Sus scrofa: one gene and its partners. The protein of the gene in region 1 interacts with the protein of each later gene in a pairwise test. Links are inferred from orthologs where the notes say so. Each region holds a gene or a part of one and is shown on either strand. Other genes may lie near its edges.

Evidence for each region.
Region 2: the proteins of GOPC (region 1) and HCK interact in binary tests that used the Homo sapiens proteins (3 or more experiments, as listed by UniProt). The two-hybrid records come from large-scale screens. The link is inferred for Sus scrofa from reciprocal best matches to the Homo sapiens genes GOPC and HCK.
Region 3: the proteins of GOPC (region 1) and MYLK interact in binary tests that used the Homo sapiens proteins (3 or more experiments, as listed by UniProt). The two-hybrid records come from large-scale screens. The link is inferred for Sus scrofa from reciprocal best matches to the Homo sapiens genes GOPC and MYLK.
Region 4: the proteins of GOPC (region 1) and CCDC102B interact in binary tests that used the Homo sapiens proteins (3 or more experiments, as listed by UniProt). The two-hybrid records come from large-scale screens. The link is inferred for Sus scrofa from reciprocal best matches to the Homo sapiens genes GOPC and CCDC102B.
Region 5: the proteins of GOPC (region 1) and CERCAM interact in a two-hybrid assay, tested with the Homo sapiens proteins (2 studies listed by BioGRID and IntAct). The two-hybrid records come from large-scale screens. The link is inferred for Sus scrofa from reciprocal best matches to the Homo sapiens genes GOPC and CERCAM.
Region 6: the proteins of GOPC (region 1) and RHOQ interact in a two-hybrid assay, tested with the Homo sapiens proteins (2 studies listed by BioGRID). The link is inferred for Sus scrofa from reciprocal best matches to the Homo sapiens genes GOPC and RHOQ.
Region 7: the proteins of GOPC (region 1) and DPYD interact in a two-hybrid assay, tested with the Homo sapiens proteins (2 studies listed by BioGRID and IntAct). The link is inferred for Sus scrofa from reciprocal best matches to the Homo sapiens genes GOPC and DPYD.

What each region holds. Positions count from the first base shown.
Region 1 is NC_010443.5:44,273,864-44,277,363, reverse strand, and holds part of GOPC (Golgi-associated PDZ and coiled-coil motif-containing protein), read right to left. Parts: intron 2,428-3,500; coding exon 2,332-2,427; intron 802-2,331; coding exon 637-801; intron 1-636.
Region 2 is NC_010459.5:35,736,073-35,739,572, reverse strand, and holds part of HCK (tyrosine-protein kinase HCK), read right to left. Parts: intron 2,624-3,500; coding exon 2,474-2,623; intron 2,140-2,473; coding exon 1,987-2,139; intron 207-1,986; coding exon 24-206; intron 1-23. UniProt on the Homo sapiens protein: Non-receptor tyrosine-protein kinase found in hematopoietic cells that transmits signals from cell surface receptors and plays an important role in the regulation of innate immune responses, including neutrophil, monocyte, macrophage and mast cell functions, phagocytosis, cell survival and proliferation, cell adhesion and migration.
Region 3 is NC_010455.5:136,508,662-136,512,677, reverse strand, and holds the start of MYLK (myosin light chain kinase, smooth muscle), read right to left. Parts: upstream 2,801-4,016; 5' UTR 2,695-2,800; intron 2,493-2,694; exon of another isoform or gene 2,487-2,492; 5' UTR 2,394-2,486; intron 1-2,393. UniProt on the Homo sapiens protein: Calcium/calmodulin-dependent myosin light chain kinase implicated in smooth muscle contraction via phosphorylation of myosin light chains (MLC). Also regulates actin-myosin interaction through a non-kinase activity.
Region 4 is NC_010443.5:153,930,297-153,934,429, forward strand, and holds the start of CCDC102B (coiled-coil domain-containing protein 102B), read right to left. Parts: upstream 2,801-4,133; 5' UTR 2,559-2,800; intron 1-2,558. UniProt on the Homo sapiens protein: During interphase, forms fibers at the proximal ends of centrioles to maintain centrosome cohesion. During mitosis, dissociates from the centrosome following phosphorylation to allow centrosome separation. Contributes to CROCC/rootletin filament formation.
Region 5 is NC_010443.5:268,841,044-268,844,389, reverse strand, and holds part of CERCAM (probable inactive glycosyltransferase 25 family member 3), read right to left. Parts: coding exon 3,257-3,346; intron 2,181-3,256; coding exon 2,061-2,180; intron 1,767-2,060; coding exon 1,690-1,766; intron 1,607-1,689; coding exon 1,500-1,606; intron 214-1,499; coding exon 81-213; intron 1-80. UniProt on the Homo sapiens protein: Probable cell adhesion protein involved in leukocyte transmigration across the blood-brain barrier. Does not express any beta-galactosyltransferase activity in vitro.
Region 6 is NC_010445.4:94,009,861-94,014,059, forward strand, and holds the start of RHOQ (rho-related GTP-binding protein RhoQ), read right to left. Parts: upstream 2,801-4,199; 5' UTR 2,458-2,800; coding exon 2,316-2,457; intron 1,755-2,315; coding exon 1,696-1,754; intron 1-1,695. UniProt on the Homo sapiens protein: Plasma membrane-associated small GTPase which cycles between an active GTP-bound and an inactive GDP-bound state. In active state binds to a variety of effector proteins to regulate cellular responses. Involved in epithelial cell polarization processes.
Region 7 is NC_010446.5:120,151,335-120,155,522, reverse strand, and holds the start of DPYD (dihydropyrimidine dehydrogenase [NADP(+)]), read right to left. Parts: upstream 2,801-4,188; 5' UTR 2,578-2,800; intron 1-2,577.

The DNA of each region.
Region 1 (3,500 bases):
TACTAATGAACACCTCTCTAATTCTGTCAACCCTATTCTTGAAGGAAAAAACCAAAAAAAAAGCATCTTAAGTACTCTGGATACGAAATATGATCCCTGGATATGAATCTGAACTCTATAATGTATTTGTTCTGCAACGCTGAGTAAATCATTTAATTTCTAAGAAGCTTAGTCCACTTATTTTAAATAATAAAGTTGGGCTAAATGATTTCTAAGGACCCTTCAGTTCTAACATTTATGACTTTAAAGTTGATCCACTTCTAGTACTGTTTGTTCTGTAGCACTTCATATTTGTACAGTGTTTTAGTCATTAGTGATGTTCTGTTTCTAAGTTTTGAACACTTTATATACATTAACATACTTATTAATCCTTACAGCTCTCAGATAAAGACACTGCAGCACAAAGAACTTAAGTAACATACTCAAAGGTATACAACTGTAAAGAAAAGCAAATAAAAATTTTTTCCAGTAAATCTGGTTGAATATCTTTTATAAAAGCTCAAGTCAAAGGAAACTAGTATCTATATATAAACACTTTACTACCTGAGAAACCTCCTAGGAAAGTATAAGGCATTCAATAGATTCAAAAAGGTAACAACTGATAGATCCAATTTTAGTTACATAAAGAGAACTTACTTGCTGGGAAAGAATGGTTACAGCTTCTTTATGCTTTGTGTCCCTTAGATTAACTCCATTAACAGCCAGAATTGCATCTCCAACATGCAGCCCTCCACATCTGTCAGCAGGTTGCCCTGGGTGGATCTCAGAAATGAGGATTGGAACGCCATGTTCCTTTCCGCCCTAACCAGGGGGGAAAAAAAAAAAAAAAAAAAGGCAGTAAATTAGTTCACCTTTGTGTAGTCAGACTATTCTGATAAATATTTTCCTATAGACCTATTCCAATAAGCACCTATACCGTCTCTATAAATGCTGAAACACTACTTGCTACTTAAGTAATGATAAATCAAATTGTTATGAATATCAAAGAGTTACCTCTAAGTAAAGTGATTAATATCATACATGTGCTTCTTAAAATGCATTCCAGAGCCAAAAGAAAAAAACAAAACAAAACTGAAAAACAAAAAACCAAAACAAACCTACAACCCAATTGGCTGAGCTCTCTTAAACATAAATAAAAATATCTTAAGTACTAGTAGTCCACAGCACTATTAGAATTTATCAGCTCTAAGTCACTATGAATAGTAAGACAATTACTTTATGTACCACAAAAGTAATTACAATATGAACCTCAATTTCACAGGTGTTAAAATGTGAAAAAATGTGCAAGCAAAATCATTGAAATGAGTACTTGATACATTTTACTTTCTAGCTTGCAATCATAATTGTGTGTGTATATATCTTAATTTTTCCTACTAAAACTTAATGCTCTTTGAGGGAAATGTATTCAAAAAGGGAAGTATTCAATAAATACCCATTATTTCTTTATTGTAAGAAACATTTCTACATTAAGCAATGCCAGAAAGCCAATGAACTTATGCAGTACCTAAATACAAAGCCATCTTATTCATTCATCTGGAACAAAGCACTGAATGGCAAAATGACTCTAAACATATGTATTTTATGTTGTCCAAGACAACAGTTTGTAAAGGCATCAACTTTAAAAAAGAAGAATGTCTGGACCCAAGAGCCACTGAAATCTGATAGAAATGAAACAAGAGATAGTAAGAAATACTCTAGAGAAAGGAACAGTACTGGCTGGAGCCATTTAGCACAGAAGAAAACAGTCATATCAATTCCCAAAAGCTCCTCCTACAGGCAGCACAGAACTAAATGACTTGAGTCATAATGAAAAAGATAAACAATGATTTCTAAAGTAATACTTTTACTACTTCACGGTTATTAGGAATATTTACGTACCCCTCAAAAAAGGTTTACACGAAAGTGTTGGTACCCACAGGGATAAATTCAGTTATTTAGAAAATACATTCAGGAGTTCCCGTTGTGGCGCAGTGGTTAACAAATCCGACTAGGAACCATGAGGTTTCGGGTTCAGTTCCTGGCCTTGCTCAGTGGGTTAAGGATCCGGCATTGCCATGAGCTGTGGTGTAGGTGGCAGACATGGCTCAGATCCCTTGTTGCTGTGGCTCTGGTGTAGGCCGGGAGCTACAGCTCCAATTAGACCCCTAGCCTGGGAACCTCCACATGAGGCGGAAGCGGCCCTAGAAAAGGCAAAAAGACAAAAAACAAAACAAACAAACAAACAAAAAAGAAAGTACATTCAGAATACTTTACTTCCCGATGATGTCCAAAAAAGGGGCATGATTATAATAGATAACTACAGAAAAGGAGACTGGAAGCACTACTTCTTACTGTAATTGAAATGCCAAGGCCTTCATGATCTTCCTTAAGAAGAAGAACTTTTCTAATTGGTCCAACTCCTTGGCTTTTCTTTAAAGAGTCTTGATCCTTATTGAGTGAAAAAAGAAAAAAATTAGTACCACATAAGTAATAATCCAAACAGAGTAATCCATAGTATTACAGCTTGCTTTTAGAAATATTTATTAATTTCCTATAATAGATACACAGTACAGTGTTAAGAAAGTCATTAACAGATAAAATGGAAAAGCAAAAATAGTTGTTCTGTTAATATGGTGAAATGTACAGATGATTTTTCTCACCCCCTTGTTAATTTCTTTAATACTGCTACAACTCTTTTTAAATTGAAGGACATTACAAAAGAAATTATTGCCAGGAATTAATTGATAAATAAATATCCTCAATAAGTAAGAGTAGGTAACTTTATCTTCATAGGAAAATATCCTAAAGATCTATATCCATTTCAACTGATTTGTAGAACTGAAAAACAAAATGCCAGCTGGATCATTAATTACTTTTTCATTCCTTTGAGTTCTGGAGTCTACCTCTTAAATAAAGGACCTTGCTCCATTAATAATTCTTTCTTGGGTAACTATACTCTTTCCTTCTCTACAAGCTCCTTCTTAATTCAGCTACTTCCTAATTCAAGCCTCATACAGCTTTAAAATACTGACCATGTACAAACAGAAAATAAGACAAATAAAAACTCCTCCATCACCCATTATCTTCTTTACCTACTCTCCTCCCTCAATCTTTCCTTAACCTTCACACAAAGCTAATCCTAGCTACAATAGCTTCCTGGCCTCCCACATTCAGTACTCCAACCCTGTAATTAGGGTTTTGCCCCTACCTGCTCCACACAAACTGGCTTCCCTACAGTCACTGGTAACCAAGACGGCTATTTCCAATGAATCCTTTATAGTCACTACCTTATTTGAACCTTACAGAAAGCTGATAGTGTTCATTACATCCCATCCCTGAAACCCTGTCTTTTCTATTACACTACTTTTCTAGATGCCCTGTATCTGACAGCCCTACCTCAGGCTCTTCCTTTGGTGATTCATGTCCTTCTTCTCCTACTCCGTAAAAGTCTCCTTACGTCTTTTTACTTTCTATATACTTTCCCTGAGTGACTTAATCAATTCCATGATTTTAATTTTTAT
Region 2 (3,500 bases), on another chromosome or scaffold:
CCTCAGCCCCCAGCATGCAGCACCTTTGGCCATGAACTCCGTGATGATGTAGATGGGCTCTTCCGTGGTGACCACCGCGTGCAGCTTCACCAGCTTGTCGTGCTGCAGAGTTTTCATCAGGTTGGCTTCTGCCAGGAAGGCCTCCACAGACATGCTCCCGGGCTTCATGGTCTTCACGGCCACCTTGGTGTGCTTGTTGTAGGTGGCTGGAGCGGGACGGGGCGCAGGGAAGGCGGTCAGGACCCATGCTCTTTTCCCACTATCCCGAAAACCCGGCTATAGACCGGCCTCCTCCAGAAAGCCTTCCCTGCCCTTCTCAGTCCTTAGAGAGGGAAGGGGAGGCACGGGCTTTGGCCTCAGACAGATGTGATCTGGAAGGGTGGACCACCACTTCCTAGCTCTGTGCCCTTGGGCAAGTTACTTAACCTCTCTGAGCTGTGGTTTCCTCATCTGTAAAGTGGAAATCAGCACAGCCTTCAAAAGGCTCTTGCAGGGATGAAAGAAGAACCTTAAAACATCACTCGGATTAGGTCACTTGCTCATACACACACTCACCTTTGTTTTGTCAACACTTATACACACACCCCATCTTTGCTTAAAATGTTTTACTTAATATTAACACTGTCATCCAATTAAATACCAGCTTTATCAGGGTCCACAAGGCCCTGCGTAATCTGGCCTTGCCCACCTTGCCTCATCATCCACCAAGTCCCCCTTGCCTTTTGTGCACCAGTCAGCCTGCATGCCATTCAGTCCCTCAAGCATCCAGCTCCCCCTCCCCCCACAGGGACTTTGCACATGTTTTTCCCTCACCTCACCCCCACCCTTCCCCTGCTTCATCTTGTCGATCTTGTAAATCTCATTGTTGTTTATGTTTCCATTTTTGCTTTGGCTGCCAGGAAGCTCTAACCCAGATTTGAGGTCTTCCTGTAGTAAGAGTCTAAGCCCTTATGTAGTATTTTTTTGTTTTCCTGCATCATCAGTCCAATCTGTCTTACCTTCCTCACCATACTTTCTCTGCCACATTCTCTTATTTAGTGCCTGGAACATAGTAGGCTCTCGATAAATATAGTTCAAATACATAGATTTTTAAATGCATTTTTTTTCCTGGCTGAACTGTTTGCATCTCTCTAAGTTGTCTTTGTTCCCATTAGGAACGTGGTGGAGTATAAACACAATGCGGAGCACCAGGCACTTGGCCAGGCATTGCGTCTACCCCACAGTTCTGCAAAGCAGGTTTTGCTATTCTCAGGTTATTAGAGGCAGGATGGCAGGGGTGGAATATGCCTTTTGGGTGCTCTGCCATTTCTTAGCATGGTGCTGGGCACATGGCAGGACTCAAAACAGCTTATTCATCAGCTGCCAACACTAAACTCACCTGGAAATCTCCAAGCTATACTTCCACATTCTTTTTTTTTTTTAAGGGCCTCATTCATTGGCATATTGGAAATTCCCAGGCTAGGGGTCATATCAGAGCTGCAGCTGCCAGCCCGTGCCACAGCCACAGCAATGCCAGATCCGAGCTGCATCTTTGACCTATGCTGCAGCTTGTGACAATGCCAGATCCTTAACCTACTGAGTGAGGCCGTGATCAAACCTTCATCCTCACAGACACTAGTGGGCTTCTTAATGCACTGAACCACAATGGGAACTCCCTACTTGTGCATGCTTAATTTTCATCATCCTAAGAGATGCTCTGGTTATCTCAATCCCAAACTGTCCCAGCTCCCTAGGAGGGGGATGGATTCCTCATCTGGGACCTCTGCTTTCCAGAAGAGAGTTTTTGACCCCAGGACAGGCCTAGCCTTAAAGGCAAATCAGTGTTTGCATGGCAGGACAATTTGGTTTGCTATCAGAGGAATTGCTCCTTTATGGCTGCTATTCAAATCTCCCCTCAACCCAGGACGGCAGTCACACTTTGCCTCAGGCTGTTCCCGGAAGCAAGGACCTCCCTCTCCCCTCCCTGCCCTGGGCCTGGGTCCTTACCCAGCCAGACTTCCCCAAACTGCCCCGCTCCAAGTCTCTTCTCCATCTTGAGGGACTCCCGGGGGATCTCCCAGGCATCTTTCTCCCAAGGCTTCTGGGGCTTGGAGGACACGCAGGGCACGGTCAGCTTCTGGCAAAGCCCGTCGCTCCCCTCTGGAACAGAGCCCCTGGTCAGTCGAGAGTGGTCAGCTCCAAGCCAGGCACGAGCTTCCCCTTGGAAGCCTCCCTGCTTGGTCCTTGGCATTGGGCTCATATTCCAAACAGTTCCCTCTCCCTCCGCCCACCTGGGGGACATTCCCAAGAGGATAGGTGAGATGCCACCTCTGCCCTCCTGCTCAACAGACCTAAGACTTCAGGAGAATCCAAAGCAACTATTTATCCAGGGAGGGTCAGGAAAACCTCAGCAGCCTCCCAGGCCGCAGTGCTCCCTCGAGCGGGCTTCCCGGGAGCCAGGCAGGCACTGGGAGGCAGGCTGGGCGGGACTCACTCTTGTAGTGGGCCACCAGCTCCTGCAGGGTGTTGAAAGTGCTCCGTGGGGAGATGTAGAAGCCCCCGCTGTCCAGGGTCCGGATCTTGTAATGCTTCACCGTGTCCCTGTGCTGGGGGTCGTAGTCTCGCACGGACAAAGAGTAGCTCCCTGGAAGGGCGGGAGAGAAACCCCGCAGGAGTTGGCTCAAAGGCTGACCATCCCATGTCAGCACCCCTGACCCCCTGTCAGGCCACTGCAGGCACTGTCCTGGCACCTGCACAGCAGAGTATAAGGTAGGAATGGGCTGTGGAGTCAGGCTGCCTGGGTGCTCATCAGGCTGCTCCATTTCCAGCTGTGAGACCTTGGGCAAGTGACCATACCACCTCTCTGTGCCTCAGTTTCCTCATCTATAAAATGAGATTGGTCATAGCTCCTTGCCTCGTCACATTGCTTGATGGTTAAAAGAAGTAATGCTTGTACTCAGGATGTAAACACTCGGTAAAAGTTGGCTGGCATCATCTTCATTATTATTTCTTTTCTTTATCTTCTTCTTCTTCTTTTTTTTTTTTGCTTTTTAGGGCCACACCTGTGGCATGTGGAAGTTCCCAGGCTAGGGGTCAAATCAGGGCTACAGCTGCCAGCCTACACCACAGCCACAGCAATGCCAGATCTGAGCCACATCTTTGACCTACACCACAGCTCATGGTAACGCCGGATCCTTAACCCACTGAGCGAGGCCAGGGATCGAACCTGTGTCCTCAGGGATACCAGTTGGGTCTGTTTCTGCTAAGCCACAACAGGAATGCTTTCATTATTATTTCTTTATCTATCTGTCTATCAATCAATCAATCAATCACAAAAGCCCAAATTCCACACCACTTTGGTAAAAAGTAAAAAGGTAAAATAAGTGAACAAACAAAAAATTCTAATCTGATTATCCTGGTAGGCCCAGTGTCATCACAAGGGTCTTTATAAGAGGAGGTAAGAAGGTCAAAGTAGGATAGGAAGTTGGGGTTGGAGAGATGTGAGAAAGGCGCCACTGGCC
Region 3 (4,016 bases), on another chromosome or scaffold:
CCTTCACTCTGGATTCCAAGCCCACATGCCACCCAAGTGTCCACTTGTATATTTTCCATACAAACATCCTTCCTCCTGCCCTCTGGCTGCACTCTCTGGCGGTCAGAGGAAAACGACACAATAGTCAAGCTGGGAGAGGACAATGTCTTCTGTTGGGCAAGGTTACTTTCTAAGGGTTGGTCTCTAAATTTCACTACATTCACAGAATGAACAGGACAGGAAGTTTTAAGAATGAACAGTTCCCCAATCAGAGTTTGTTGGTTGACATGGGGGTAGGGCAGTTAGGGTTCCAAGTGGCCTTGGTGTATATTTCCAGAATATCAAGAAAGTGTTGTTCTCAGAAAGACGCTACATAAGACCCCACATGTTCATGGGGTTGCTGCACCCCTACCCCCAGGCTGGGCTGCATTCTCAAATTGCCACTTCTTGAATCTCTTAAAAGGCAAAGAGCCAAGAAACCAACTAGTTCTATTTCGCAGACTCAGATTTGTATTTGGGGGGCCAGCAAGGGGTCATTCTTGTAAATACTGAGAACACAGTGACCTCAGAGCAATCACAATCCATTCCTCAAAGACTGGGGAAGGACCTCCCCAGCTAGGACCAAAACGCCACCCCTACCTCTGTCACTGCAAGGGCCTCTCTCCCCCCAGCACCACCTGGGACCAACCTCCTTTTCTGACCAGCCTTCCCAGCAGACTCCTTTGCAGCTGCCATCCAGAAGCCCCTGCCCTAGAGTGACAGCACCTGTCTGCGTAAGGTCCAGGCAGCAGGTGGGTCCACTTAAGCTTACCAGTTAGATCAGGACCTTCCCCAGAACCTAGTCTGCTCTGTACATGTCCCCCAAGATCTATCCCCTGAGGAAATAGTCTCATTGATGAGAGGGCCAGCAAACCTTATATAAAGAAAACCACTCCAAGGCCCCAGCAACCTCTTCCCCAGCTAGCTAATTACTGCACAAAAGCAATCAAACACACTGCTTCTCAGCCTTTTGGCTAAGATCAAGTGAAGAAACCAAACACACAAATCCTTTCCCACTGTAGAGCAGTTTTCCAAGTCCATGCCTACTGGTGTATCAGAACCAGCATCTTTTCGTATCATCTGTGGGTGAGGGGACAGACATGCACATCCTGGGGAAAAGGCTCTTGTGCAAGTCCCCAGGGTACCCTCTACCCAATCCAGTAGTGAGCATCCAGCCACTCCCCAACTAGGACCAAGCCTCTAGGCTGCTCTGGCTAAAGGCTCTTGGCCCACTTAGAATGGAAGACAAAAGGCCAGCCTCACTCAGGACACCATGAGCCTTCAAGCCGAGGGCATTATGGTACCAGCAAAGTCACTTTCTCTAGGGTGCAGGGCAGGGAAAGAGACTAAGACAGAGGATCACCAAAGAAAGAAGGGGATCAAGGGGAGCATGAATTTAAAAGTAAAGAGATGGAGGGGAAGAGGGAAATGAAATGGGGGAAAAAAAAAACCAACAACTATTTACTGGAACCTAGAATAGTTTTTGGGGACCCAATAAGGTTACCAGAAGCACTTACAGTTCCTCCAGAGATTTGTATGGATCTCTGGGGCTTTGAAATGTGAGGAGTTCCCTGAATGATCCTCTCAAGCCCCCACTTGCAAATAACTTACTGAAAAGGTGTGCACTTTGACAAAAGATTGCACTAAGGCAGGAAAGAACTTGCAGCCCCAGCTGGAAGGGGGATGTAGCAACGGAGTGAGTTGGGGGTAGGGATGGGGGGAATTGCACATATTCTGCTCTTTGCACTTGGGGAGAATAGGGATGGTGAAAACCAGTGGTCTGAGACCTGGCACTATTCCCACTGCCCAGGTGCGCCCCCACCCCCACCAACTTCCCTCAGTTACAATGACCACTTTTACCCCTTCCAGGCCTCAAAGGACTGGGTCTTTCTCCTTCCTGTTACTATATAGAGGGCGTGCCCCTCAACAACAAAATGCTAGAACACCTCCCCTCATCAGCTCCTCTTTGCATCTGCAATACCACTCCTAAAAAATTCAGTCCTTTGAGTATTGAAGAGTAGCCACAAGTTCCAGGGAGGAGTTCTGCCTTAACCACTGACAGCTAACACCTGGGAATTAGTTTAGCCTAAACTTTCCAACCGCAGTGATCTGCATACAAAGGTCCTTTAACCATGGAACTCTGGCTGAAGGCAGGAAGGCAGAACAGGCGAGGGACATTAGTGAGGAGCAGGGAATGAGAGCAGAACTGCGACGCCCAACGCCCCAGTTTTGCCTGAGACCCTTAGTCTGCCTCCACTCCCGTACCTTCTCAGACTTGCATTTAGGCTGGGAGGACTTTCACGTGGCATCCCCGCCCCTTACCCCCGCAGCTGCAGTCACCAAGTCCTCCCACAAGGGCTAGGAGAAGAGCCCACCTCTCTTCCTTGAAGGCTGGCGGCGATTTGCACTCCTCAAATCAAAGATACCGCTTCGGATGATAACCGCATCACTGTCCCCAAGCACCTCACCTTCCAAAAGAGAACTTGGGTTGCCGCGACAAGCTGGAGTCACCCCTTGTGCCACCTCCCCCAACTCCTCTCCGCCCTCAGGAACCCCTCTCCAACAGTGGGGCCGGGGGCAGACTCCTGAGGGAGGGTCCCGACCCCGGATCCCCGCCCTCGGAGAGTGACTGCCAAGGGCCGAGACAAGACAAAAGCGTGGGGCGGGCTCACTCACCCGCGCGGCGAAGGCGGCCCGGGAGCCGAGGCACCGTGCTCGGCTGGGGCGCCCTGGCCGCGGGCGCGCAGCGCGGGTTCAGCGCTCAATCTGCCACCGGCTGCGGCTTGGGGAGCCGGTGAGGCGAGTCCCAGGCGGGGCGGGGCGGGGGGGGGGCGGCCCGGCGAGAGAGCGAGCAAATGGGAGCGCAAACGCGCGTGTATGCGAGGGACTGGGAGTGGAGCGCTCCGGGTCTCGACCCAAACTGCAGACTCCGGCTCACACGCGCTGATTTGCATGTCATTTGCATGACGCTCTGGGAATGGACCTGCGGTCCTTCCGCCACGCCCACCTGCCCTCCTCCCCCGGTAGCAAGAAGGGAATGCGGAGCAGAATCGACAGTTGGATGCTGGTCCTTCTCGTCCTTCCTCCGCACCACTCCAACTCATCTTCGCACACTGAATTGGTGGCCTTCAAGGTGTTTTCTCATGTTTTCTCCTGGAAGACCACTCCGTGCACGGAAGACCACACACTGGAAAAACTCCTTAGACTTTAAAATTAATTTTCTTTTCCTTTGATATGGCTCTCAAAAACAACAACGAATCAAGTACATTGCCCAAACGAATGCAGTTTTGGTTTTTGGACAATGTATCGCGAAGAACTTGCTCATTTTCAAAATTGGACACAATGTGCAATTTTGTTCAGGCTGGATAACCTAAGTCCTTAAAAATGCGGGCTCTGGAGTTGAGAACACTAACCCTTGCTTTCTAGCAGCAAAATTTTGGGCAAGGTATTTATGCTCTCTGCTATTTCGTTTTCTTATATCTAAAATGCGGATAATCTGCCTCATAGGAATGTAAGGCTTCAGCCAGGAAAAGCACTTAGGATAGCGTCTAACAAACATAGTTACTTTCAACTCTTAAACGTGTTAAGTATTGTTCTATATCTACTTAACTGAGAGGCAATCAGACCGAGGCAAGAGACCAGGAGAAGAGGGGAAGCTTAGACCAGGGTTTCCCACCCAGCTCAGCTGTTAGACTAACCAGACTCACCTTTGAAAATCCATTTCCGTATCTTCCTTCCCTGTAGAAGATCCAACCTTAAATGCATTTTGAAACGTTATCGTGAGGATGTTCTGGAGAAATATGAGAAAATGTTCAACCCGGCCACTTCCTTAAAAAAAATTTTTTTTTTTAATTTTAATGTAAAGACGGAGAAGTCTGTTTTGCGGTGGAGAGTCCCAGATTGAGAGACTTGAGTGTTAGACCTGGTTCTGGTACTAGCTTTGTAGAGCTTGTGGGAGTCATCGTGTCTCCGCCTCAGTTTTCTAATTTGTAAATGAG
Region 4 (4,133 bases), about 110 Mb from region 1:
TCTCCATAATTTTAAGGTGTGGTCACTAGGCATCCATTCATATCACACCATCAAAGAGAAACAAAGGGATCCAGTATGTTCCCAATATCACTTCCAGTCACTTCACATATTTTATTTGTGAATAAGTAATATTAGATGAAAATCAGAGATGCAACTTCCTTTCAGAAATCAAAATATATATTTTTGAATGTGAATAAAACATTCAAGAAAATGAAAAAAAGAGGAAAGCATAAGAATTGAATATGAGAACAGCCAATTAAATGTAAACACTGCTTATTTTCAGTATCTATTCCTTCTTTCTATTACCAAAGGCAAGAATGGACCATCTGAGGGAACTGTGATCAGTTTAGGTTTACAAATGCTGGAACCAATCTGCCTACTTTCTCACAACCTCCTCCCTGCACTCTGTTACCCCAATGCCCATTCCAAACCATCCTGCTAACTCCTACCAGATTCACATTCTTAAAATACCAGTGCAACATAGTGGAACAGCTCTGAAGCCAGAAAGACATTGTTTGGAATCCTGGCTCCACTTACTATATCTGTGGCTTTCAAGAAATCATTTGACATTTTTGAACATCAGAGCCCTTCATGTGTAAAATAAAGATAACATGTGAGATGAAGTTAATTTGATCACACATCTATCAAAATGGTATGTAAATTATCTTGTACACAGAAGTACAACTACGTGCTGGCAGTATTGCCAATGATGAAGAAGAAGATGATGAAGAAAGAGGAGGAGGAGTAAAAATACTCCATCTCCTCAGAAACTTGCATTTGCCCCAATTGTATACAGACAAAATTAATCTATATGAGTTTTAAGATGCGCCACAACTCTATCCAGCTCTATATTTGAACACAATGTCTGCTCCTCACAAAGTGTACTTTTTTCTGCTCCAATAAGGTGGATTATTCATCCCTACTCTTCCTGGTTTAGATTAATTTAGCCTCAAAACCCTTTGCTTCAACTACTTCTACAAAGTAGAAGAGTCTTTTTGCTTTTCAGCAACTATCTAAATTCCTCTAATTTTTTAAGTCTCAACTTACATAGCCAGACTTTTCTTTCAAGGCTTCTCTAAAATCTTACTAAAAAGGAAATTTTGAAGGTTTTGGCAATAGGACAGAATTCAACTGCCCCTGTAATATAAGCATGGGAGATATACTTCTTCTTCAAATGGAAATGGCCTAAGATCACTTTCTAGTTTAAATAATTATTGTCATTATATGTGTGGCTCCAATAATTAGATGGAACCCTCACAAATTTCAAGGCCACACCCATGTGAGGTACCTGGAAGTTATGTCCCAGAGATCAAGCAAATACTGAATACAATCAAAACAAATGAAGAGTGCAAAGGAGAGACTACTAAATGATATTTAACACACAAGAAAAATATTTTTTAAAGGTTTGGGGAAAAAAGGAATTCATATAAAACATTCTCCTAAAGATTCAAGTAGACATTGATATTTTAAATCAATGTTGCAAAATCACACAAAGCTCGTACAGGTATTGTATCACTAATTTTTCAAGATTCACTTCCATATTAAGTAAAAATATGGAGAAAAGTTAGAAATTAAAGACCATTTAATTTCTGTGTTAGGATATTTGACAATAAAATGATGAACAGCAAAAAAATTAAAAGTTGTAGCAATACCCTATCCCATAAAAATATTAGCAAAAGAGTATTCAGATAATTTTAGAAAATAGGAAAACTAATGTTTACGTAAATGAGAATATCAAGAAATATATCTGAATATTTCAATGCCGTATGTAACATGTTCTAATTGTATTTTTGAAGGATATCTCTCTTATATTTCTATTTAACAGATTTACCCACTCAACATTCATTTCATAATTTATCTTTGCAGAAAACATAAACAATACTGCCAATGGTTTCCAGAGATTTTTTTTCTTCAATTCTGTAATTACTTTCTCTAGAGTTAAATGCCTATTTCATTTTATTATGTGAAAGCTTTTAGTATTTTATGCTATGTATTTCTCCACACCCAGATAACTTATATCAAGAAATCAAGATTAGGGCTGAGTTGGAAGTATAGTTTTTTGTGAACAGTGATAGAAACTCAGCATGCAGACTAGCAAAATGAGAACTCTAAATGAATGAGGAATAAACTTGAGGATTTGCATAACAATTCTATTTTATTTTTACTCTAAGAATATAGATTACTTCAAACACAATGACTAAATCATATTAGTTTGGAGCAACAAAATAAGTTTTATTACCAACATATCATATTACTGTCTAAATTTAGAGTTGAAAATCTTACCTTTGTTAGTATACAGTTATTAAAAAAAAAAAAAGGAAATGTCTGACAAGCTGTTAGGATAAATAATACCAACGTGGAAAATGGAAGAGGGATGGAAGAAATCAAGTCCACTTTAAGAAGAAACTCTAAATCCCTGTTTCTCAGACCTACAGTAGTTTTGTTCTGCATCTTATAAGCAACTGTCTTTCTCTTTGCTCTGAGAATACCGCACACTCGGCCCCACCAGGAAAATATAAAAATTAAACAGAAAACCACAAGGTTATTAAGCATCTTACCCTCTGGGCTTGCTGGGCTGCTCTAGCGGCTCAGTGTTACAGACACATGTGTAAACAACAGAGTTTCCTGCATCCTTTTTTCATCTGTATGGCTCTGGGGTCCTGGCCAACAGGATTATTTCCAGCATTAAGGCTACTCCACACTAACTTGAAAAAGATTCCCATTGGCTGTGAAGTTTTATCAAAACCAATACAACAACACCCTTTGTGGATCACAAGTGAACTATCCAAAATGAAATCATTTTACTATTCCCTAACTCATGGATATGGCTATTCAATGGTCTCTACACAAATTATTTCAAACTGTGCTGTGAGTGAAAAAGGAAGAAACCACCCACCCTTTCATCCACCAGTGTATTTGTTTAATAACTTGTATATAGTAATAGAAAAAATATTTGTATAACTTGCAATAGTAATAGAAAAAATAAAGTGGCAAAGCCAAAGTACTAATAATGTGGAGTCCCCTTGTGACACAGCAGGTTAAGGATCTGGCCTTGTCACTGCAGTGGCTCAGGTCATTTCCATAGCAAGGTTCGATCCCTAGCCTGGGAACTTGTATGTGCCATGGGCCAAAAAAAAAAAAAAAGAGAAGAAAAAGCCAATCAAATCATAACATATCTATCTACAATAGATTTAAAGAAAAATTATGCTGCAGATTACAGGAACAATAGGAAATATCACTGGTCCAAAATGATTTTTATTAGATTGCCCCCAAAAGAAAAAGAAAAAATATTTAATAAACTTTCAGTATAGAAATCAAGACACAAAAACTATACATTGAAATCTTTGTTTCCAGTCATTTTGGGAAAATTATGAGCTGCATTCTCTGGGGCTGCCAAGAGAGCTCTCTAGGGCCCCCAAAAGAGGTCTCTGGCTCCTGTCCCTGGCAGGGGGAGGGGGAGGGGGGGAACCAGAGTGACTTTGCAGTGACTTGATGCAGCTGTCAGGAGGCATAATGATGAATGGTGATGTCACACCACATAAAAGAGAGCTTCTCCAGTTGAAACAGAATAGAACACCCAAGAAAAAGAGGACAGGGCAAAAGAAACTAGATCACTGTATCCTTATAAATAGCATGAAAATAGCAACATTGGGGAGTTAATATCTTCAAGTTATTTTATTTTTATTCCGTTCTTATTTTGGAGGAGTGTTCTTAGCTGAATAACCTACTCATCATCTATTTCTGCTTAACAGCATCCTTTCCTCCTTACTTCCTGGTGCAATGGAGAGGGTGACCATCTTCCACAGAACGTAAACTAAGCCTTTGAGGTTTCCTTTCGTTCTGTCTTTTCAGGAAATGTGCTCCATCACCATACTCTCTTCGCTTTCACTGAGCTCTCCCTTTTGTCTGGATTTTTCACCATGAGATTGTAAATATCAATTCTTCAGTCAGTTTCAGTTATGCCAATGACTTTCCCTTTTAGTTCAGTCATTTTCACTTGCAGGTACCATTCTCTTTTCCTTCATGGTCAAATGACTGAAAGAGCTCTTCCAGGCAAGAAACCCATTTAATCTGCCATCTACTCCTTTAAGGCACCAAAATGATTGTCTCTGAAAACACACACTTGCGTACAC
Region 5 (3,346 bases), about 220 Mb from region 1:
TCAGTCTGTTTAGTCACCCACTGGTCACACAAGTACTGGCACGAGCAGTGGACAGGGCAGTGTGTGGGGGGGTGTCTCACCTCCTCCCAGATGGAGTAGTGGCTGAGGAAGCAGCCCACCTCGCCCTTGGTCAGCGTGCGGCCCGAGTAGGGGTCCTGGTAGCCGGGGAGCAGGTCCACGCCAAGCCTCCTCATGACACTGCTGTTGAGCATCCTGAGGGAGTTGGTGTCATGGGGTTAGTGGTGCCCCCCCAGCCCCCAGGATCCATCCAGGGGCACCTGGCCCCTGCAAGGTGGGGCCAGTCACACTGGAGTTTGGTTTGCAGGAGGCTTCAGCCTTTGTTCCTGCTTCATGTGGCCCGGAGCCATCAGTGACTGGACCTTGGGTGTCGTAGCTGCCTCGAGAGAGAGAGACCCCCAGGGGAGGGGGTGGCAGTCTGAGTGGGAGACACCCCAGAAAGATGCGGGCACGTGGCAGATACTTAGGCAGAGGCCTAAGCAAATGATGGCCATCTTGCAGTTAAAAGGGCTGGGACAGGAGTTCCCTGGTGGCCTAGTGGTTAAGGATCAGGCATTGTCACTGCTGTGGTTTGGGTCACTACATGTGGTTGGGTTCCATCTCTGGCCCAGGAACTTCTTTTTTTTTTTTTTCTCTTTTTAGGACCACACCTGCAGCATATGGAAGTTCCCAGGCTAGGGGTCGAATCAAAGCTGCCAGCTGCCGGCCTACGCCACAGGCACAGCAACGCAGGATCCAAGCCATGTCTGCAACCCACACCACAGTGCACGGCAACGCCGGATCCTTAACCCATTAAGCAAGGCCAGGGATCAAACCTGCGTCCTCATGGTTACTAGGCGGGTTCTTTACCACCAAGCCACAATGGGAACTCCCTGGCCCAGGAACTGCATGCCATGGGCATGGCCGAAAACATTAAAAAGTAATAACAATAATATAGAGAGTGGGATATATGCAGCAAATAGCAGTGTCCCTATGGGGCTGGGTGACCTCTGGCCTGCTCCCACCCCCACCCATCAGGGATCTAAGTTCAGAATGGAAAAGAATAACCCTGACGATAATGATGAAGGTATTATTAACCTCTGGAATACTTCCTACGTGTCAGGCCTTCGCTGGACCCTTACAAACCCTTAAGAGAAAAGCACAGCTTCTCGCCCTCATGCAGCAGGTGGAGGGACAGGACGACATGCTGGAGGCGGCGCAGCTGGTAAGCAGCAGAGCTGGAACCCCAGCCCAGGAGCTCCAGACCCTGGGCCTGAAGCACTGTCCCCTCTCCCTCGGGTGGGCTGAGGGAGGGCATCCTGTCCCATCTGGTCTCCCCTGGACCCTGAGACAGAGGTACCCAGGCCCTGTTTGAATACCTCCTGGAACAGGAAACTCACTCAACGCATCGTCCGCTTTTCCCGCCCCCAGGGAGCTCTGAGGGACCACGCTGGCCCCCCAGCTGCCCAGGGCCCTGTCCCCACGCAGGAAGCCTCACCCACCGGCCGTCCACGGCGTCCACCACCCGCCCGGCAATCTCCATCTCCCAGAGTGAGCTCAGCATGCGCTCTCGGCGGTCGGGCCGGCGGGCCAGGCTGATGACAAACACCTGGAGGAGGCAGGGTCGTGGGTGCGAGGGGGGAGGGGAGAGGCGGGAGCCCCCCCCACCTCCTGGCCCCAATCCCGACGTACCTCATCAAACCCCATCTTGCTGGGCCTCTTCGGGGGCCGGGACACGTGAGCCGAGGCCCACATGGGGGGCCCATCCACTGCAGAGAAAGCATTCCCCACTCCTGAGTCTGCACCCTGGAGTTCTAGGCACCCCCTCCAACCCCAGCCTCATTCCTGCCCCCTCGGCAGAATGCCCAGCAGATCACAGAATCCACCTGCCTCCATGATATGGATGGGCAGGCGGAGGCCCAGCGGGAAAAAAGGACTCGCCTAGAGTCAGGAAATGAGTTGGGGGGAGGCTGAGCCCCCAGCCCCCTGCCCAGCCAGGGCCGGGCCTAGAACAAGGGGCAGGTAGGGGAGGGCAGGGGGCAGCAGCAGCAGGCAGCCCTTACCCAGCGCTTCCAAGAGCAGATGGATGAAGTTGACTCTCTCATCCTCCAGCCCCTGGTGGGATTTCACAGGCACGTTCATGTACCCGTAACGGTGCTCGTTGCACACGTGCACTGAGACCCCTGTGGAGAGAGGCCGAGTGGGGCTCTCAGGACCCAGCTGAGAGGTCTCAGGCCCAGTCCTGCCCAGGACCCAACACGTGAGTCCTCTCTGGAACTCACATCCTCACCTGTGGGGCTGGAGGGAGAAAGGGCTTGGATCAAATAATATCTAAGGACCATTCTGCTGAGATGTTTATTCATTCGACAGGCGTCTAGAGTACCAGCTGGTCAGGTCCACATAAGCTGGCCCCTGCCTACCTTTCCTGCCTCAGCCTGCACCAGGCCCTTCTCGCTTACTATGCTCCAGCCACACCTGCCTTTTGTGTGCCCTGCCACCACAGGACCTTTGCACCTGCTGTTGTTTGAAACGCTCTGTCCTGCTCTCTTTGCCTTCTAATGCCCGCCCATACCTTATTTTTTAGTTTTTATTTATCAGATCCCAGCTGCAGCTGCCACCTATGCTGCAGCTCTGGCAATGCCTGATCCTTTAACCCACTGAACCAGGCCAGGGATTGAACCAGCATCCTTGGCGCTGCATAGATGCCACCAACGCCATTGCACCACAGCAGGAACGCCTGTCTGCACATGCTTTCGATCTCAGTCCTGAAGTTAACATCCTATGCTTCAAGAAAACTTTAAAAAAGTGAAAAATGGAGTTCCCGTCGTGGCGCAGTGGTTAACGAATCCAACTAGGAACCGTGAGGTTGCGGGTTCGATCCCTGCCCTTGTTCAGTGGGTTAAGGATCCAGCATTGCTGTGAGCTGTGGTATAGGTTGCAGACGCGGCTCAGATCCCGCATTGCTGTGACTCTGGAGTAGGCTGGCAGCTACAGCTCCGATTTGATCCTTAGCCTGGAACCTCCATATGCCACGGGAGAGGCCCTAGAAATGGCAAAAAGACCAAAAATAAATAAATAAATAAAAATTAAAAAGTGAAAAAAGAGAAAAATTTTCAAAAGGAAGGAAGGGAGGCTACAGACCTGAAGGACAAACAGAAGTTACAAGATGAGCTGCGGAGTGGGGAAGGGCATGCAAAGCAGCAGGAACAGCACATGCAAGAGCCCAGAGGCCTGGAAGCAAGGCTCGAGCTGTCCTCACCGGCAGCCTGACAGGCGTAGGCAAAGACGATGATGTCGTCGAAGGGCCAGGTATAGTTGGGGTGAGGAGGGTAGAAGGAGAGCTGGCCTG
Region 6 (4,199 bases), on another chromosome or scaffold:
GTAAATATGAGTCAGATTTGAATGTGCACAGAACAGCTCTGACATACACACGTCCTGTTGAATAAAGTTCGTGGTCAAAAAATGGTCACGGTGACAAGCAACAAAGAAAAGGGAAGAAGAGGCCATAGTGAGAGAAGTTAAAAGTCAACATGAGTCTCAAAAAGCTCTTCTTTCAGCCAATAATTTCAACCTGTTGTTTAGCAACCATACGGCTTCAAAGTTGGTCTTATTTGATAAACCTGTTGTTTATCAACTACACTGCTTAAAAGTTGGTCTTATTTGATTGAATGGGTTCTGCCTCTTGCCCTTCTTCCTAGCTGGTAATGAGAGTAAGTACAAGGCAGGCAATGAAAAACAACCCTTGGAAAGCTAAGAAGTGGTTGTACCGACCTGGGTCAGTTTGGCAAAAGGGGGTGGCCTCAGGCATCTCATATTGCCAATGGTTTCTCAGTTCTCAGATGCTCCTATCACTTCATAGTATAGAAATGAGGGATGCATCAAGATGCCCCCCCCACAATAAGACATTTGTCAGACTAACCTGGAACTACAGTTTTGACACCCAAATCTAGAAGAGCTACAAAGGAGAGCTCCTCTTTATTGACCTACCTGGTGTGTGCCACACTCAGTGCTAAGCATCTAACATATATGCCCAGGGGAATGGTGTGAATTTTTAAAACTTCATCTTACAGATAAGGAAACTCTACTATGGACATCCCCTAAAGACACTCTCTAAGGCCCTCAGCAGCTCATATGTCCTCAAGATCTCAAGTCTGGACGACACGTGGAAACTTCTGCCTGCATTTTCAGGTCTAATCACAGGGCTGGATTTTGCAAAACTTCATCACACACATCATCTTAGGCCCACAGCAAAAATGGGTCTAGGAGGAGGGTGGCGCTGGGACAGAGACAGAGAGGAGATCTTAATCCTTTAGAAGCCACCTCTAATTTGCAAATAATGGTCCGAGGCTGACGTGTGGAGGGTGCATTTTCTTTCTGCACAATAATCTCTCCCAAGGAAAACCCAGACAAAGTCACCTGGCCTTGCCAGGGAACAACAAAAAAAACTCTTCCTCCAAGATTCACACTGAACTCCTGACCCTTCCTTCTCTCCCTGCCCCAGGGAGTGGCTGGATGGTTGTTTCTTTTCTTTTTTTTTCCCCTGCGGTCCTCTGGTAACACCACAAATTACGTTTTCAGGGACTCGAGTCCCAGAGTGCAATGATGTTGTAATAAACATAACCAGGACCAAATGCCTTCCCATCATATTAGATGATGCCATTTCCCACCAATCAGGCTCCTCTGGCGGGCAGACCACTCACCAATGAGGGACCAGACAAAGGCTGTGAGGGGAGACCTGGTCATCGGCAACTAAAAATAAGGGCGCTTCAGGATTGGCCACTGCCACTTTGCAACAGGAGTTGGGACCCACACGCCAGGCACCAGACAGAAGGCACACACAGGCAAAAACTTTCAGCCCAGGGGTTCACGTGGGGTGGGCTGGTCCCGATGTTGCCAAGGTTTTTTGTTTTTTGTTTTTTTTCCTTTTCCTAATTCGCTGACTTAAAAAATGAGATACTTGATCCAGAGGGAACCTCGCAGACACACCCTCGCTCCTAGACAGTTTCCAAGGCCCTTCGCAACCGTCTTGAATTGGGGAAAAGGAGGGGGGTGTCGGCCAGAAGCCCAGACACTCACCTGTCCGGCTGTGTCATAGAGTCCCAGGAGGTACTGCTTGCCCCCTACGGTGACGCTGACTGCAAGGGCAGAAGTGGGGGCGGGGAGAGAAGCTCACAATTATCTAGGCTCGGGGCGGTTTCGTTCCCCACCCGGACCCTCCTCTCCCAACCCAGCTGGAGGCACGCGGGCGCGCCTCCGGGGATGCCACCCCTTTTCCCCTGTGCCCGGCTCACCGGGAAGTGGCCTGAGGCCGGGGTGCGATGTGGCGCCCCAGCTGCCCAATCTCTTTTCCCAAGTCCCATAGCCACGTTTCCCTCACCCTCCTCCCCCAGGGCTTTGGGAAGTAAGGAAGGCGGCCCTAGGAAGGTCAACGAGGTCGGCCCGGGGCACAGAGGGGGTTAGGAAGTACTGGGCGTAGGGACGCCGCACAGAGGTCGGGGGTGAGAAGAGGGGTGGATCGGGCAGGCGGGGGGCTGCCAGAGGGAAAGCCTGGGGGTGGGGCCCGGCGCCCCGCGGAGGGCGCGGCGGGGGAGGGGCGGGGAGCGCGCGCAGGGGAGGCGGCTAGGGGGCTCAGCCAAAGTTGCTCCAAAGTTCCCGGCCCGGGGAGCGGCCCCTTAGTCAGCACTTCCGAGGCTTACCTGCGTAGTGGTCGAAGACGGTGGGCACGTACTCCTCCGGGAAGGCGTCGTTGGCATAGCTCATGAGTAGGCAAGTCTTGCCCACCGCCCCGTCGCCGACCACCACGCACTTGAGCATCAGCGCGCCGGGCCCGTGAGCCATGCTGCGGCCGGCCGGCCTCCGGGCATGGTCCCCCCGGAGCCCCCGCCCCGGCCCCGGGCTCAGCCCCAGCCCGCCTGGGGGGTCCGCCGCCGCCGCCGCCGCCGCTCCGCGCAGCAGGGCCGCCCCCCCGGCCCCATGCAGCGGCTCCCCCTGCCCGAGGGGAAGGGGCGGCGGGCCCGGGGCGCTGCCGCCGCCTCGGTCGCTGCCCGGATCCCCGCCCGGGCCCCGGTCGCTGCGCCTGCCCGCTGCCCCCGCTGTTCGGCGCCCGCGCCCTCTCCCCGGCCCGGCCTCCCCAGGAGGATCCGCTGGATCATAAGACTGGCCGGCCCCCGGGGAGACGGCAACTTTGGGGAGGGCAGCGGAGGGGAGGGGCCAGGAGGCTCTCCCCGCCCCGCGCCGGCCCAGGCCCCCTCCAGGCTCGGCCCGAGAGGAGGGCGGGCCCAGGCGCCTCCCCCGATCGCGGGCCACCCGCCCGGCGCCCCCGCCCGCCCGCCCGCGGGCTCCGGCGCCCCACGCCCAGCCTGCAGCCGCTGCTCGGCCCTGCGGGCTCACCCTAGCTTGACTCCCCGCGAGGGCTGCAGGGAGGGGGCGAGGAGGAGGAGCCGAGGAAGAGCGAGCGGGAGGAAGGTGAGGCTGGGGGAGGGGGCTGGAGACCAGCACTCGGGAGGAGCCGAGGGCTCCTCGCGAAAGTGCCGGCAGCTCTCAGAAGCGTCCAAAGCCCCCGATGCTGGGAGAAGACGTGGAGGCCTCCTGGGGAACCACGAAGACTGCTACGATGACGCAACAGTCCTGCAAAATTATACATATACATTTAAATTCCACCCGGAAGGCAGGATCCAGCCTATCGGCCTCTAAGTGCACAACAGAACTAGAAATCGGGAAGGAAGAAAGGCCAAGAGAGTTAAAAAAAAAAAAATTTTTTTTTTTTTTTTTTTTTTTTTAAGGCGCGCGGAGTGATGGGGCAGGGGTGGTGGTCCATGAGCTGGAAAGTGGGGACTTCTGGTTTATTGTTTGGTTCCCCCCTCCCACCACCACCAGCCTATGCTGTTCGCAGCAGAGCTTGAATCATTTACTATGAATCTGGTGACTAAGGGAGTTACAGCATCTTGAACCACAGATGCATTCCCCCCCTCCCCCTGATCCGTCAGAAAAGGGAGACTCCGAGACTGTGGAGGCGGCAGGTGTACCTGTGCTCCCCCTACAGGCGACATTCTCTGAGGCCCCTTTATGGTCCCCGTGTCCCTCGAAGGTATTAGGTTGTGGTCCCTGAGGAGTGATACACTCTAGAGCTCTAAGATGTGGCTTATGATCCAAGCGACATCTCCTATCCTCCTGCCTGGGAGAAGCTTTATAACACCCGTCTGGCCAGGTCCCATTCACTGGCCAACAATGCTCCTTCTAACTTTAGGCCCTGGGGGAGAGGGGTGGGGGAAAGAGGATACCCCACACGTTGACACCACGCCCCCCCTTCCCTTCAAGTGCTGACTTGAGTTCAATCGATTCCTTTCATCTCTTCGCAGGATCAGAAAATGCTATTCTGAGAGGCACTGCCGAGGTCAGCTGGACCATCTCTTATATCTCCCTAAGATTGTAGGTAAGCGAATTGAGACACACAGAGGTGAAGTGGTTAGTTATCGCAAAGCCTCCTCCTTGAATTCTAGCATTCAAGGACTTGGAACACACCTTGGGAAATGCTCAGTTGTGTGCTCATGCCACACTTCCCAGGCCTCAACTCTCAACCC
Region 7 (4,188 bases), on another chromosome or scaffold:
GCTCTCTCCGCTTCTCTCTGCAACTTCACATAAGCCCTAGTTGTGTGCCCTAGCGGTGTGCCAGTCCTCTACCATGCAAAATGGTATTATAATATACTTATTATCACACCAGTCATATACCCCAGCAGCCACTGATTATTTGCTTATGCAGAGCCTAGCAGACAATGGCCCAAGTCTCCTGTTTACTGTTAAATCTTTCGCCTCCATTTCTGACCCCCAAAGGCATTTGTCTTTCTTTTTACTTCTACTTTTAATTTTTCTTGTGTGCGCTTACAAATGATTCATGCTGATACAATATTACTACCTATACTTATTTATACTAATACACATCAAATATATTTATGAAAAAATACATAGTTTTCAAACCAATGAAAGTCCATCCTCCTAAACTGTAAGGTACCCACAAGAATATATAAATTTGAACTTATAAAAAACAAATTCAAACTAAGAGCAAATACTCTTAACAACCACACGATTTTGGTAAATTTCAATGTTATTGTCCAAATCTCTTAAACTTATTTTTATGTGTTAAACACTTTAAATGCTAATATGTAGTTTTAAGACAAACTAAAATATTGTGATGACAATCAACTAGCAATTTATCCAGTCCTGCAGTTTTATTATCCATCTTTGTGCACTAAGTATTTTTAACAGTTTTCAAAAGATTTTTGGAGAAGAATGTCAAATATTTAGTGAAATCTATCAAGACATTATTATTTTTCATTAATCACTGCACTAAGACCAAAGGGAGAGATACAAATAGAGCCTAAACTGACATTATTTGTGACTGCATCCCCAGGATAATACTTCATCAAGGTAGAAACTATTGATTTTATTACTATTTAATGTATATCTTTCGTGTACTTCTTATTTCTCTCAGAAATACTTTTATTTCTTTTGTTGAATAGTATTCACTAACTATTGACAACACTGTTTCAAAATAGGAGTAGTATGGAGAGAATTTATTCAAAGATGATGAAGTTTGGGGCAATAGAGCAAGTGTGAGATGTCATCAATCTAACAGCTGCTCTCTAATCCATATTCTATTCGTAAATAACCTACAAAATGCATTATCCATATACATTAGTTATTATTAATTATCATGGTAATATATGTCTTAGTTTTAGATTAGGTACACAAACTGGCAGATTTTATTGACCAGTTTGTCAAAATGTATCATAAACGTGTTAGTCTCATTCTTAAATCTACTTATAGACCAGCTACCACAAAATTAGTCTTAGGCTTTCTGAATTAATATAAAACTTCAGACATAAGCTTAAACTTCAGGGATCTTCAATACATGGGCCTTTTCCAAGGTCCTGTATTTAAATTTGCAGTAGTGATTTTGTGCAATTCTTAAAAGAAGGGACCCAAAGTTTTATCATCTCAAGCCCCCACAAAATCTGAATCTTGGCTTTAACAATACTTCTTCAATAACAAGAAGAAGAGAAAAAACAAAAGATTTTTGGTAACATGCATAAATAAGGAAAATGACTAAGCCATATGTGTTCATCTTACACAATCTATTTTAATATAGTTGCTTCATATTTAACAGAAAATGAGGTATGGCAACCTCATTTTGTGAGTTGTAAGATACAGTGACTGAGGTATTCGGGGCTGAATTAACAAGGTTAATACCATGAACTTGCAGTCAGAAAGCCCAAGTTTACATCAACTTTGTATCAATGACTTAAAACATGTGGGGCAAGTGAGAATCTGTGAAATAATGGAATTAGAGCACTTAGAGTTTTGTACTCTAGATCTTCCCTTTATTACATCTAAATTTGTGTAAGCCTCTTATTACTCATCCATAAAATAAAGAAGATGACATTTACCCAAAGAGTTATTTTGAGTATCAGCCAAGTTCTTAGTAGTGTACCTAACACTGACCAGGGTTACAGGAGTTTCTTTAATTAACTATAATTTTTCCAATCATTTTGATCTTTAGTTTCCACATGCCCAAGATGGGAAAAACATTAGCCATTCTACATGTCTTACTGGTTGTTTATCAACATTTTTAAGTGAGATATTGCAAAGATGCACGCATGGTGTTCTAAACTCTAAACTTCACCCCACCTGATCCTATCCTTTATACTACGATCTAAACACTTTTAAAACCAAATAACAAAAATTAATAAAAACTAGATTATCAGTCCGAGGATGCTAATATAAATGCATATGTCATTGTTTGCTATGGAACTCAACTTGTTAGCTTGTATTGTTTCATGATAAACTACAGTTTTTCTCAATACTTGTATATAGAAGTTGCTTACAACAACAATTAATTCTGGTGCTCAGTCAATGTTTATTTGATTAACTGAATGCTTACCAAGTGGGAGCTTAATATACTGGGTGTTCATACAATCCAGTCTGCCTGGAATAGTCCTGATTTACTTCTGGTGCACTGAATTAATAATTATTTTCTCTTTCATTCCCCAAAATATCAAAGTATCATTCTCTCTCACTCCTTTAATTAACCTTCTTAGAAAGCAATCAACACAACATGCAAAATATATCCAGTCTCACAGTTCAGTTTACGCATTTTTTTGATAATTTATTTTAAAGTAAGGAACGCACCTAAATTTGTTCTGTGTCTATACCTATCTATTTGATAGATGGGATGCATCACAAAAATACATTATTTGAGAGAGGACGTGTAGTACTCTATTGGAATACATGAGTCTGTATTCTCCTTCAAGTACCTGTAGAAGGCAAAGGGTTAGGCTTTTAGTGACTCCACATTCAAAATAAAAATACAGTAGAAATAATATTTGTCTTATTTAAATAATCACTAGCTCAAGTAATCATTTTCCTTCTTCATTCACAATTCTTTAAACTATTTATTGTAGCATTTTAAATGTTGATGTGATTTAAGTAATTGCACAAGGTTATTTAATGCAGTCTCATAACACCTGGCTGTTTGAATTGTATCAGTGTATTTTTTATTATATTATAAGCACTGGCCAATTTTTTGCGAAGTGTGTCTACTCAATAAAATATAGAAATAAATGTCAAGAACATGTAATAGTGCATAAATACTATATGACGGTGGGATAAGAACTGAGTAATGTCAAATGAGAGGTGACATAAAAATCAGCTGGAGTTCCTGTTGAGGCGCGGCAGAAACAAATCACACTAGGAACCATGAGGTTGTGGGTTTGATCCCTGGCTTTGCTCAGTGGGTTAAGGCTCCAGCGTTGCTGTGAGCTGTGGTATAGGCTGCAGACACGGCTCAGATCTGGTGTTGCTGTGGCTCTGGTATAGTCCAGCACAGGCAACAGCTCCGATTAGATCCCTCACCTGGGAACTTCCATATGCCGTGAGTGCAGCCCTTAAAAGACAAAAAGACAAAAAAACAAAAAACAAAAAAAAAAAACCCTACTGAAAGACACAATTAAAGAAAAATCTAAAGCATAATTCTGTTCTCAGTGATTTTCCTGATTTAGTCTAGAATTCTGTTTGTTAGTTCCATTCAACTAAAAGTATGGAAAGTAAACTAAAAGTACAGTGTCAAGAAGTAGATGCCACACAAAACAGTGTGTTTCATGGGCATTAAAATAATCTCATAGAAGGCGTTCTGTGAAAAACATACTGTTTTTAGACACCAATTTCATAATCCAACACATTCCTAAAAATTCATAATTGAGGTGGCCATCTTAAGAGTTAATCCTCTGAACTTCATTTATTTTAAATTTAAAGTCAAACTTTAGAAACCTGAAATTTCATGGAGCTCCCATCATGGTGCAGCAGAAATAATTCCAACTAGGAACTATGAGCTTGCAGGTCTGATCCCTGGCCTTGCTCAGTGGGTTAAGGATCCAGTGTTGCCGTGAGCCTGTGCCATAGGTTGCAGATGTGGCTCGGATCTGGCATTGCTGTGGCTGTGGTGTAGCCTGGCAGCTGTAGCTCTGATTACACCCCTAGTCTGGGAACCTCCATATGCCGTAGGTGCAGCCCTAAAGAGACAAAAGACAAAAAAAAAAAAAAGAAAGGAAGCTAAAATTTCAATTTCAATTTTTCCAAGTTGCCTCTATAATTCTTTAATATCAGTAGAAGGGATTGGTTTGGCATGCAGCTAGTTATCTGCTTATAGTTATTTTTTCTACTCACTATAGGAAATGAGTAGAAAGTTCCATTCTTATTTCATAATCCTTTTGCAACAATTCATTAATCATATTTGAGAAGCAA